3 linked regions of the Schizosaccharomyces pombe genome follow. Each later gene encodes a partner of the first gene's protein in a complex. Each region holds a gene or a part of one and is shown in the gene's direction. Other genes may lie near its edges. The genes, in order: spp2, spb70 and spp1.

Evidence for each region.
Region 2: spp2 (region 1) and spb70 share a complex: the UniProt entries of both Schizosaccharomyces pombe proteins name them as parts of the alpha DNA polymerase complex.
Region 3: spp2 (region 1) and spp1 share a complex: the UniProt entries of both Schizosaccharomyces pombe proteins name them as parts of the alpha DNA polymerase complex.

The regions. Positions count from the first base shown.
Region 1 is NC_003423.3:3,315,988-3,319,742, forward strand, and holds spp2 (DNA primase large subunit Spp2), read left to right. Parts: upstream 1-1,785; 5' UTR 1,786-1,795; coding exon 1,796-1,961; exon of another isoform or gene 1,962-2,019; coding exon 2,020-2,215; exon of another isoform or gene 2,216-2,414; coding exon 2,415-3,006; exon of another isoform or gene 3,007-3,049; coding exon 3,050-3,475; 3' UTR 3,476-3,642; downstream 3,643-3,755. Other genes in the region: tif301 (translation initiation factor eIF3a), read left to right, coding at 1-1,194. UniProt on the Schizosaccharomyces pombe protein: Regulatory subunit of the DNA primase complex and component of the DNA polymerase alpha complex (also known as the alpha DNA polymerase-primase complex - primosome/replisome) which play an essential role in the initiation of DNA synthesis.
Region 2 is NC_003421.2:285,414-289,168, forward strand, and holds the start of spb70 (DNA polymerase alpha B-subunit), read left to right. Parts: upstream 1-1,815; 5' UTR 1,816-2,226; coding exon 2,227-2,492; exon of another isoform or gene 2,493-2,533; coding exon 2,534-3,512; exon of another isoform or gene 3,513-3,554; coding exon 3,555-3,755. UniProt on the Schizosaccharomyces pombe protein: Accessory subunit of the DNA polymerase alpha complex (also known as the alpha DNA polymerase-primase complex) which plays an essential role in the initiation of DNA synthesis.
Region 3 is NC_003424.3:2,428,887-2,432,641, reverse strand, and holds spp1 (DNA primase catalytic subunit Spp1), read left to right. Parts: upstream 1-2,006; 5' UTR 2,007-2,024; coding exon 2,025-2,098; intron 2,099-2,182; coding exon 2,183-3,473; 3' UTR 3,474-3,666; downstream 3,667-3,755. Other genes in the region: drc1 (DNA replication preinitiation complex assembly protein), read right to left, coding at 535-785, 826-1,458, 1,515-1,644; tRNA m(1)G methyltransferase Trm10, read right to left, coding at 3,708-3,755. UniProt on the Schizosaccharomyces pombe protein: Catalytic subunit of the DNA primase complex and component of the DNA polymerase alpha complex (also known as the alpha DNA polymerase-primase complex - primosome/replisome) which play an essential role in the initiation of DNA synthesis.

The DNA.
Region 1 (3,755 bases):
CTTTTACGCAAGCAACAAGCCGAGGCTGCCTACGAAAGGGCTCAGGCTGGTGTTGAACAGGAGCGTAAAGCGGTCATTGCTCAGCGTAGTCTTCTCGAATTACGTCGTGGACAGGCTGATACACTTGCTACTCAACGTGAAGCTGAGCTTGCTGCTCAACGCGCTCTCAAACAAAAGCAAGAATCTGAAGCCGAGTCTCTCCGCGTTCAAGAAGAAATTAATAAACGTAATGCTGAAAGGATTCGTCGTGAGAAGGAAGCTATTCGCATTAACGAAGCTAAAAAGTTGGCCGAGGAGCTCAAAGCTAAGGGTGGATTGGAAGTCAATGCCGAAGACTTGGAGCATTTGGATGCTGATAAATTGAGAGCTATGCAAATCGAACAAGTCGAAAAGCAAAATAAGAGTATGAACGAACGTTTGCGTGTTATTGGAAAGCGTATCGACCATTTGGAACGTGCTTATCGTCGTGAAGCTATCCCATTGTGGGAAGAAGACGCAAAACAACAAGCCGAACATGACCGCGAAATCTTTTACGAGAGGGAGAAACAACGCAAGGAAGTACAAGAGCGTAAGCATGAACAAGCCATTAAAGACAAAAAGGCTTTTGCTCAATTTGCTTCCTATATTCATGCCTATAAGCAAAATATTGACGATGAACGTGATAAAGCATATCAGGAGGCATACGCCAAAGCTAAAAATGTCATTGATGCAGAGCGCGAAAGGCAACGTAAAGAAATTTTCGAACAAAAATTGGCTGAGGCTATTCGCGAAGCTGAAGAGGAGGCTGCTCGTGCTGCTGAGGAAGAGGCAAACCGTGAGCTTCATGAGCAAGAAGAAGCTCAAAAACGTGCTATCGAGGAAAGAACTCGTGCAGCTAGAGAAGCTAAAGAACGCGAACAGCGCGAAATGGCTGAGAAATTGGAACGCCAAAGACGTATTCAGCAAGAGCGTGATGAAGAAATATCTCGTAAGCTTGCCGAGAAAGCAGCTGCTAGAAGAGCAAATATTGGCGCATCTTCACCTAGTCCTGGTGCTTGGAGGCGCGGCGGTGCTAGTGCTGGCGGTGTTTCACGAGACTCTCCAAGGTATTCTCGTGGTGGCTACTCTCGTGGTTCTGTTCCTCCTCGTGAGACCCTTGCTCCTTCTAAGGGAGCATATGTTCCACCAAGCAGACGTAATCAACAACAACAGTAGTAAACCTACTGTCTATAAGAAAATAAACCTGTCGACAATTAATTATTGTCGCAATTGGATATTGGAGTCAAGTCTTTACGATGCATTATCTAATGTCACAGCTGATAAATTTAAATGAACTAATGTGTTCTCCTATTGAAAGTTGTAAGTTCCTTTTTCTTACAAGGGTAGTTGGTTACTTTCATGCTATTGGAATTCATGAAAGCGGTTATGTGTATAAAAAGAGCCTTTTGTAGCTCTATTTAATAGATAATTATCGTTAACCTTTGAACTTTTTTTAATTTGTATAATACTGCTTAAAGCTTGACTTGTTAATTGTAAATGTAGAACGATACTAATCGAATAAAGATGTTACATGTCAAGTTTATAAGCGACGATGAGTTTTTACAGTTGACGTTTCTGTAGTATGCATTTCTCATTTCAATAATTCTGAATACAACGAGTGAAGAAATAATTCATTAATTATTAGCAACGTGTTTTGTATTAGTACCAAAAAGGTTAAGCAGCTTAAAATATTTGTTTAAAGACACTCAAAGTAAAAAGGTTTCTTGGTGAGAGGCACGACAATTTGTTACCGCAAATAGACTCTTCGCTAACCACCATGTTCAGAACGACCAAAAGTCGAGTAGTTGAAAAGAATCAAAATTTTTCTAGTGCTAGTTTTGAGAGTTTAAGTTATCCTACGCGACTTAATTTTTATAAGAAACCTCCTGTCTCTGAAATAAGCATTGAAGAGTTTGAAACATGGGCAATAGACCGATTAGTTGGTATGCTTTCCATTTTCTTTATTATTTTCTATTCTTTTGGAGTAAGCTAACTATTTAGTTTTGGGTGAAATTGAGTCAGCAATGCTCCGCAATAAGACGAAAAATGAATTGAACGGGATTATAAAAAAGATACTGGATAAACGTCTGCCGATGAGTAGCAACATGGCTAGGACTGTAAAAGGAAACTCCTTAGATGAAGAAAGAAGGAAAGATCATTATTCTCATTTCATTCTGCGCCTGGCTTTCAGCAGATCGTAAGTAAAAATGTGCTATATTTGAGTGCTGTCTGTCGAAAAATATCTCATTTAGACTTATAAATGCGTTCGCGTTATGGCATAAGTAGTAAATTGAACATAAAGTGGGTATCAATTTGCTGCTTCAGTTAAACAGAAAGCATTATATATATGAATACATTTAAACTTGCTTTTATTCTTTTCCTAACGCATTCATTAGTGATGAATTACGAATCAGGTTTTTAAGAGCTGAATCCACGTTATTTCGGTTTCGATTTGTGAATGAGGAAACCCGAGAACGTCAAGCGTTTATAGATAGTCTTGATTTTCAATGGGAATCTGTTTCACAAGAAGAAAAAGACGTTTTTTATGAAAAGCTACAGGCTTCTTCTCAAAGAAATATAGAAAACGAATCTTTCTTCAAAGTACCTTTTTTTAAAGTTCCGGATTTAGTAGAACGAAGGGCTGTTTTCGTTCACAAGGGATACGCTTACGTACCATTTTCGGAACAAGTAAGTCTAGTTGTTGAAGAGTTTGAAGAAAACTTAAAAAAAGCGCTTGAGTCTACCGCAAAATCTCTTCCTAGGCTTGATGAAGACGATCGTCTTTTGCCAATTCTCAACCATTTGAGTAAAGGATTCGTTGCTCCCGAGAGTTCAATAGTTGCTCCTAAATCTGGTGCTATTACTGCTGGACAAGTAGACAGTTTTGTTTCACATTTTCCATTATGCGCCAAACATTTACATGAAGTACTTAAGCGTGATAAGCATCTACGGCATTTTGGCCGTCTTCAATATGGGCTATTTTTAAAAGTATGAAACTTATTTTTTATGTAGTAATTTACTAATTTTTCAGGATATTGGCCTTTCTGTCGACGAAGCTTTGGTCTTTTGGAGGAAAAGTTTTACAAATGTAACAGAAGACAAATTTAACAAAGAATATCGCTACAATATTAGACATACTTATGGACTTGAAGGAAATAGGAAAAATTACAAGGGTTATAATTGCCAGCAGATCCTTACAGGGCCTCAACTTGGTCCTGGAGATGCCCACGGTTGTCCTTATCGTACATATTCAGTAAATAATCTAGTGTCAGCATTGGCTTCCATGGGAATAGCACCGGATTCTGCCGGATGCCGTGAAGTTGTTGAGGCAGTTAAAGCGAGGCATTATCATATTGCGTGTACGCGTGTTTTTGAGCTTACTCATCCAAATGTCGGTTCGCTGGAGGAGAGCATTCACCATCCCTTACAATATTTTCAACTTAGTTTAGAATCATAAGCTAAGATACTTTTAGTTCACGATTATCATAACACATTTCAATTTTTGTACAATAGGTATTGAACACTTTCAAAATACATTTCATAGCTATAATTCAAAAATCTAATTACCGGCAGGCTGGTTATATAGATGAATAAGCATTGTTACTAATAAAAGGCAATAATACCAAATCAACGTAAAAAACATGATATTTAATTTAAAAAACGTAATTGAAAACTTTTTAAATTTATCATCAAAATGAAATTGTCTAGCAATCTTCCGAACACTCAGTTCCGTAGAA
Region 2 (3,755 bases), on another chromosome or scaffold:
TCGCCATTGGCGGGAACCAGTTGCGCGGAGCATGCGGGAAACCAAGGTGATTACGAAGGATGCTAAAGAGCGTAGGGATTAGGCATCGCTATTTAGTATAAAGTAAATTAATGGGTTTCACTAATACAGACAGTGATCTCGGTAGATTTGAACGTTACGTGTGTGTAAAAATGTAATATCGATCTTTGTGGTAAGCTCGCAATATTTTTTAGTGTATAGCATTCCTTGAAAATTAAGATGGATTAACTATACAAGCAGCAATTGCTTTTGAGGTATACAATCAAAAGGCCATCATCCTACCCATTTTATATGAAAGCAAATGAATAGACTGCTGACGGGGCAACACTTAAAGAGTAAAGAATAAATACAATACGTAGGGCTTGCCTATCAAGTATAGATGGTGTAATCCTTTTTTTCTTTTTCGCTTTTTGTTTTTTAGTACTTTTTCACACCTTTATTGAAACATATCTTTATTTTTTTTGATAATCATACTCTATATTTTGTTGCTTTATTTTTAGTGTCTTTTCTTCTAAGCTCTCTTTAGTAGATAAAATATCACCGATTAAAATGATTACAAAAAGTTGGGCTTTTCATTCTCTATATATACATCTGCTATATACGTATTGAGTTTGCTACCAATTCTTAATAGCCAGCCCTCTATTACCACGAAACATCTGATTCAGAAAGTCAAAATCACTTTCTTCCGTGATTAATTGTTTATCTTGCTGCTTCCGCTAAACTGTTACTTTGCAAACCTGACATTCCATAGTATCGGAAAGTTTCTAAAGCTTTTGTAAACAAGACGGTCGTTCAGCCCAGGCTTATTGCTGACGATGTTAGTTGTATTATTAAATAATTTCTTTGATGAAAAAAGAAAAACTCAAACACCATGGGAAACATTTAGTAGTGTATGAGAAGATTTGTTCTTTCACATAGCTTAATGTTCCAGTATATATTTATTGAGTTGAAAACGAAATAATTTTTAACTTAGATATTGTTTTTTTTTTTTAAATTATTGTTTGGCTTCTTATTTTTTTTATTGCATTTTATTTTATTTTGGGTTACTTTTTTTTTTTTTTAAGTTGAAAATTAAACAAATTAGCCAAAAAAAAAAGAAATCGAATATGCTGAATTGAGCTATAGGGTTGGATCCTATTAATTAGCAAAAATTCCTATAGTTTAAAAAAAAAAAAAAAAAAAAACAACGAAAAAAAAAGAGAAAAAAAGAGAAAAAATATAAAACATATTTCTACTTCACTTTGTACAATCCATATTGTCTAGTCAAGTAGTTGCAAGCCTGTTCTGTATAGCGAATGTCAACTACGCAGTTTATAATATTTAACGATACTTAGGATTGCAGTGAGTTTTCCTCGTGATCAATTATATTGCAATAAACAGGTATTTTAAGTAGCAGCTGGGTATATGTATTCTGTTATGTAGGTCTATTGTTAGTTATCACTAATGTAGCTTATAACCGAACTGAGGAACGAAGTTCAGTTGATTTCAGTTTATAGTATTTGAAAAAGTCTTTAATTGTAACTGATATTTATATTATCATAAAAGGTACTGTAGCTGTCTTTTTAACCTACCATGTAAAGTAGATAGAGCAAATAGAACATTACAACATGTGACATATAGTGATACTCGGACACATTGTAACATAGCTTAGTTTCAGCTGACAAAACAAAAAAAATACATACTACACTATTTATCAGTAAACTAATATTACATAGTAAAAGCATCTCGTTAAATGTTTAAGGAGGTTTAAAAAACACATTAAACCACATACTACTGCGTTTCTCCACAGTATCCACGGAGCGTCCCAGTATATCCGAGTTTTTATTAGAAGAGCGATTTAAGTAGTTGCTTTAAGAAGATACACTCTCCTATCCTAAAAAGGTTTACTCATAATTATTGGTGGGTACCTCTTTAAGTGGTTGAACTTTCTGCTATACGTCGTTTTTTCTATCTGTTGTTAGGTTGGAATCGCGTAAACAAATTAAAAAAAGCAACTTCGAAAATCTATCACTGGGCACTTTTGGACTGGGATTGCTAGTACGTGTACTTGTATTTTTTATTCTTATTTATTTCTTTTTCAGGACCCACATCACAGTACAAAATTAGTCACTTCAAATTAATTTGCTCGTAATATTCCCAGGTATTCATTTACTGTCTTTTTTTTTGGGTATCTTGTTTCATTTTCAACTTCATTCAATCTTCAAAAAAATGGAATTTCCTATCGATGATGAGGAATTGCTAGATGAGCGAAATAAACTTCTCCAAATTTGCAATATGGACGAGCAAACAATGTTCTACAAGTGGGAGTCCTGGTGTTTGCAACGAGGAAATACACCAAAACTCGACCTTGACACATTCAAGGCCTTTGCTAAAGACATGAAATTTCAAATGGAGAGGCAGGTAAAAGCCACACTTAAACAGAATCCTGAAAGAAAATCGATAAAGCAAATCCCGGGAATGAATATTGATAGCATGTGCGTACATTAGCAAATGGTTTTAACTAACAAATATCTAGACTAGGTCTACCAGTGAAGACCACCGCATCAGGCGACTCGTTGATGCAAGAGTCTAAACCATCTACCGAAACTTTCGAATTGAATTCCAGTGACGCTGGAAGGGTTTTGGAAGTTTTAAATAAAGAATTAAAAATTGTAACTTCAAAACCTTCAGCTCCATCCAAGCTGGTTATCGTAGCGAATTTTGATCTCAAGGCATTTAATTACAGGATCATGTATCAAAAGCTTTATGATTCTTCTGAAGTTCTGGATGATCGCATTGAGCTTTTTAGTGCATTAACTTGCAGAAAATACAACATAAGTGATGAAGATTTGGCAAATCCTAGCGAACTTACTCAAGAACCCGTTGTAGTTGTAGGACGAATTGTTGTCGAAAGTACCAATTTAGGTGGAAGACTCAACCAAAATAGCATTTTACTTGAAAGTTCAAGACGTCTAGGCGCTGGTGTTCGAGTTCGTTTGAAGGTGGATGATCTACCAAGTTACTCAATATTTCCTGGTCAAATTGTTTCAGTTAAAGGATCCAATCCTAGCGGTAACATGTTTATCGCCAAGGAAATCCTTCCTATACCTCCTTTGCCGTTCCCAAGTTCATCTAAACAGGAGCACGCTACCTTTGTTGCTAATACAAATAATCAGCCAATTTCTATATATATTGCATCTGGACCTTGGTCTCTCCGTGATGATCTCTCTTTTTCCCCTTTAAAATCAATGATTTCATATGTAAATAAAAATCCTGTTGACTTGGTTATTCTATGTGGTCCATTCTTGGATATTAATCATATACTAATACGTACCGGAAACATTACAGGAACGTCTGCGACTTCTTTGGAAGAGTTGTTTAAAGAGCGTGTCACACCCATATTAAGCCAGCTAACTTGTCCTTGTATTTTAATTCCTCACATCAATGATGCTGCTTCAGATCATCCTGCATGGCCACAGGATGCATTTAATCGGGTGGCCTTAGGTCTTCCATCTGTATGTTAAGTTGTATAATAATTTTTATTGACCAATCCATAGAACTTCAAATGCTTCCCGAATCCTTGCATGTTTTCCATTAATGATGTCGTCTTTGGTGTGTCAACCAACGATATACTCCTTCACACATCTAGAGAAGAGTTATTTCGTCTACCTTCTCATGGTAACTTATTTGCACGTTTGGTTTCTCACGTACTTCACCAAAGGCATTTTTATCCCTTATTCCCTGGAGGTTCTCTTGAA
Region 3 (3,755 bases), on another chromosome or scaffold:
GCAAATCCATGTAAAGTAATGATGATATTCAGCTTTCATGTATTCCTCATTTCAATAGATCCAAACTTATTTGAAGCTGTTTTTTTATTTGTCTTTCTCGCCAGCTTCAATATTGAAGGTTCGATTTTTTTTGTACTTCTTCTTTCCTTACGTCCTCATGATATTCGTATATCAAAACGTTCCAGTCTTAGATTTAATGTTGGACGAATGCCTACGTAAAAATATAAAACGTTTATCGTTCGATAGTAACTAATTTGATTTTACCCGAAGATTAAGAACAAGAAATATATGATTCATTCAAACTTTTATATTTCCAAAATTTTTTTAACAGGATACCACAAACTCATGATGTATTATTTCATTTAAATCTCAAAAACCCACAAAATCTATTTCCAGGTTTTATTGAATGCATGATTTATTAAATATATATACCTCTTTAACATTCATTGAAAAAGTGTATATCCTATTAAGGAAGATCAGAAAGTATGTGTTTTTTTAAATACAACAGCAAAGTTCCGATTGACAAATTATATGTTAGCTTCTGTGACGCCGAAATTTACGTTTTTTTAATTTGTAAGAGGAATAATTCTGGCTTACTTGTTTTCCAATAACAAGCCCGTTTCTCATAATCTTTTTATTTTGTCGTTCACTCTGCAGATCTAAAAATGGTGACGAATCTTTGCTAGCAGTTGTATCTTCATTGTCGTCAATGCCATTTTCCGCATCTTCGTCTATTTCAGGAAGACCTTCTAAATGACTTTTGGAAAGATTCATTGAAGGGGGCACTAAAACGTTAGTTCAGGTACAAACAGGAGAAAACCTTACATTTAACAAGACGATTTTGTCGTTTAATTTTTTTCTTCATAGGTTGTGATATGTCTCTATCTACAAGGCTTTCTGAAGATGAGCTACTAAAGCTTTCAAACTCCTGCAATATCTTCTCTTCATTTGATCCGTAATCATCTTCAATATCTTTTAACTCACGAAGCATTTCACTGAGACTTTTTCGGCATGGCGCATTAACTCGAAGTAAGTTAGGAGATGTATAAACTTGAAGGCGATATGAAGAGGGGGTTTCAAGAACGGTGGGAGTATGTTGAGCCACAGGTTCGGGATTTTTTGATGGAGTAGTCGGTATCATAGTTGATGAAATTTCACTAGTGTTATGTTTTATATCCGAAATTTGATCCACATGAGAATCTGCAATGGGAGACATGTCTTCAAGAAGGTTAAGTACTCGACGTGACAACTGTGGAGTAGGACCTAAAAGACTTTTATCCACAGTTTTCGGAGTAACCTGTAGATAATCATTTCGGGGCGCTTTAGGACTCTCGTTCGCTTCAGTTTCAGCACGCTGTTTTGTAGGAGTTTGAAACTTAAAGTCGACCTTTGTTTTTGCTTTTTTAGGGGTAATGGAGGATTCGCGTTTCAACTCGTAGTATTGCTTATATAAAAGCGCTAAAAAAGTTCGTTAGTTTGCTTCAAAAATTCAAGTGTATCTTTGGCTTACATACCTATTTCTGGTTGTTTCTTCACATCCTCCTTAGAAGGTTTGCAATTGTTCGTATGGACGTACTCATGTTCCCACTTCTTTAAGAGCGCTTTTATACTAGATATTTGTTTAGTTCGTGATTCATCGTGCATGATTTGCCAATTAATGCACTGCCTGGACCCAATTTCAATTTTGTAGTGTTCGATTCAAACAACTGCAAAAACAAACTCAAAACAAAAAGAGAGGCTAATCTACATAAACATATATTTCTTCTAATTCTATATGTGGAGAAATACCATTGCACAGAGTTTGATACGTATCTCGAAATGCAAAGTTGAAATGTTAATTATGCTTTAAAAGTAAAGTAGATGCACTAATGAATGCTCCATTTTACTGCTGAATGTTTACGCATACGTTAAGCAGTTTTTTAAATTTAAATAACGTATAACGTTTAAGTACGCTGTCGTTTCCTTTTGATTTATGGTTGAGCTGTATGTAAATAACCTTTGTTTTTAGCTAAACTTATTACAATATGACTGTTCAAATCGATGAATTGGACGACAAAGATTTGGATGAGATAATTGCAAACGGAACACTTGATGGCGCGTAAGTGTGAATACTGAACAATCTTAACTATGGACTCGATTGAGCCTCTAAAATAATGAAAATTCTCTAACAATTTTCTTATAGTAAACAGGGAGCTGTGGATTCAGAGACGATGATTCAATATTATCGCCATCTTTTTCCGTGGAAATATTTATTTCAATGGTTAAATCATGGTCCGGTAGTCACTAATGATTTTGCTCATCGGGAGTTCGCGTTCACACTTCCTAATGATGCTTATATTCGTTATTTATCTTTTTCAAATTGGGAAGAGTTAAAAAAGGAAGCTTTAAATTTATGCCCAAGCCGATTTGAAGTTGGACCCGTTTATAGTGCCAATCCCAGGGACAGGAAAACAATAAGGAAGTCAACATTTCATCCGCTTAAAAAGGAACTCGTTTTTGATATAGATATGACTGACTACGATGATGTACGAACCTGCTGCTCAAAAACAAATATATGCGAAAAATGCTGGCCATTTATTACGATCGCAGTTCAAGTTTTAGATATTTGTTTTCATGAGGACTTTGGATTTAAACACATATTGTGGGTATACTCTGGTCGAAGAGGTATTCACGCTTGGATTTGTGACGAAATTGCTTGTTCTTTAGACGATCGGTCTCGTAGAATGATTGCCAGTTATTTACAGGTTGTAGTAGGTAATCCTCAAGGTGGCGTACGACTTATTAATAACTTAAAAAGACCCCTTCACCCACATTTGACTCGTTCTCTCAACATTCTCAAATCGGCCTTTGTAAAAATTGTCCTTGAAGACCAAGATCCGTGGGCTTCTAAAGAAGGAGCCGAAAACCTTTTGAAATTACTACCAGACAAGGATTTAGCATCTGCTCTTCGTAAAAAATGGGAGGTTGATCCTGAACGATCTAGCAAAAATAAATGGTCCGACATTGACACTGTCTTAGCATCTGGTTCTATTGCCTCTATATCTCCTTCAGTAATTGCGATTGCCAAGCAGGACATTGTTTTAACCTATTTGTATCCAAGATTGGATGTTGAGGTTTCTAGACATTTAAACCATTTGCTAAAATCTCCATTTTGCGTCCACCCCGGAACTAGTCGTGTTTGTGTTCCCATAGATATAGAGAGGATGGATTCTTTTAATCCTTTGAAAGTACCCACTGTGAATGATCTTTTGCAAGAGTTGGATAAAAATTCCCAAAATGATAACGGCCATGGTCCAACAATGGAAACTAATACAACAGAAAACCAAAAAGATAATGCTAGGGGACAATCAAACAAGGGGCATGGCTTTTCAACTTCTCTCAATCCTTATACGCTGTACTTTAAATCGTTCAGTAGCCAGCTTTTTAAAGAAACAGTAGGAAATAAAAGAAAACATGAGAATTTGGAATTTTAAAATCGTATTTCAACAATCGATTCAAGCTTTAACTAAAAATTTGGGCATACATTTACTCATGAAAGGATGGAAGCTCTGACTTCTATTTACGTGGAGCATATTGTTTTCCGTTAAATCGACAGTAATAATATATTTTTTAATACCTCTTTATTTATCCTTTTTTGCTAAATACATTATAATAATAAAAACCAAAACAAATCAAAAGCATAACTAGTATGATTTTAAACTAGCGATTTAATTTTCTTTTTCCAATTCACTATCAGATTGATTTGACTGAGACCT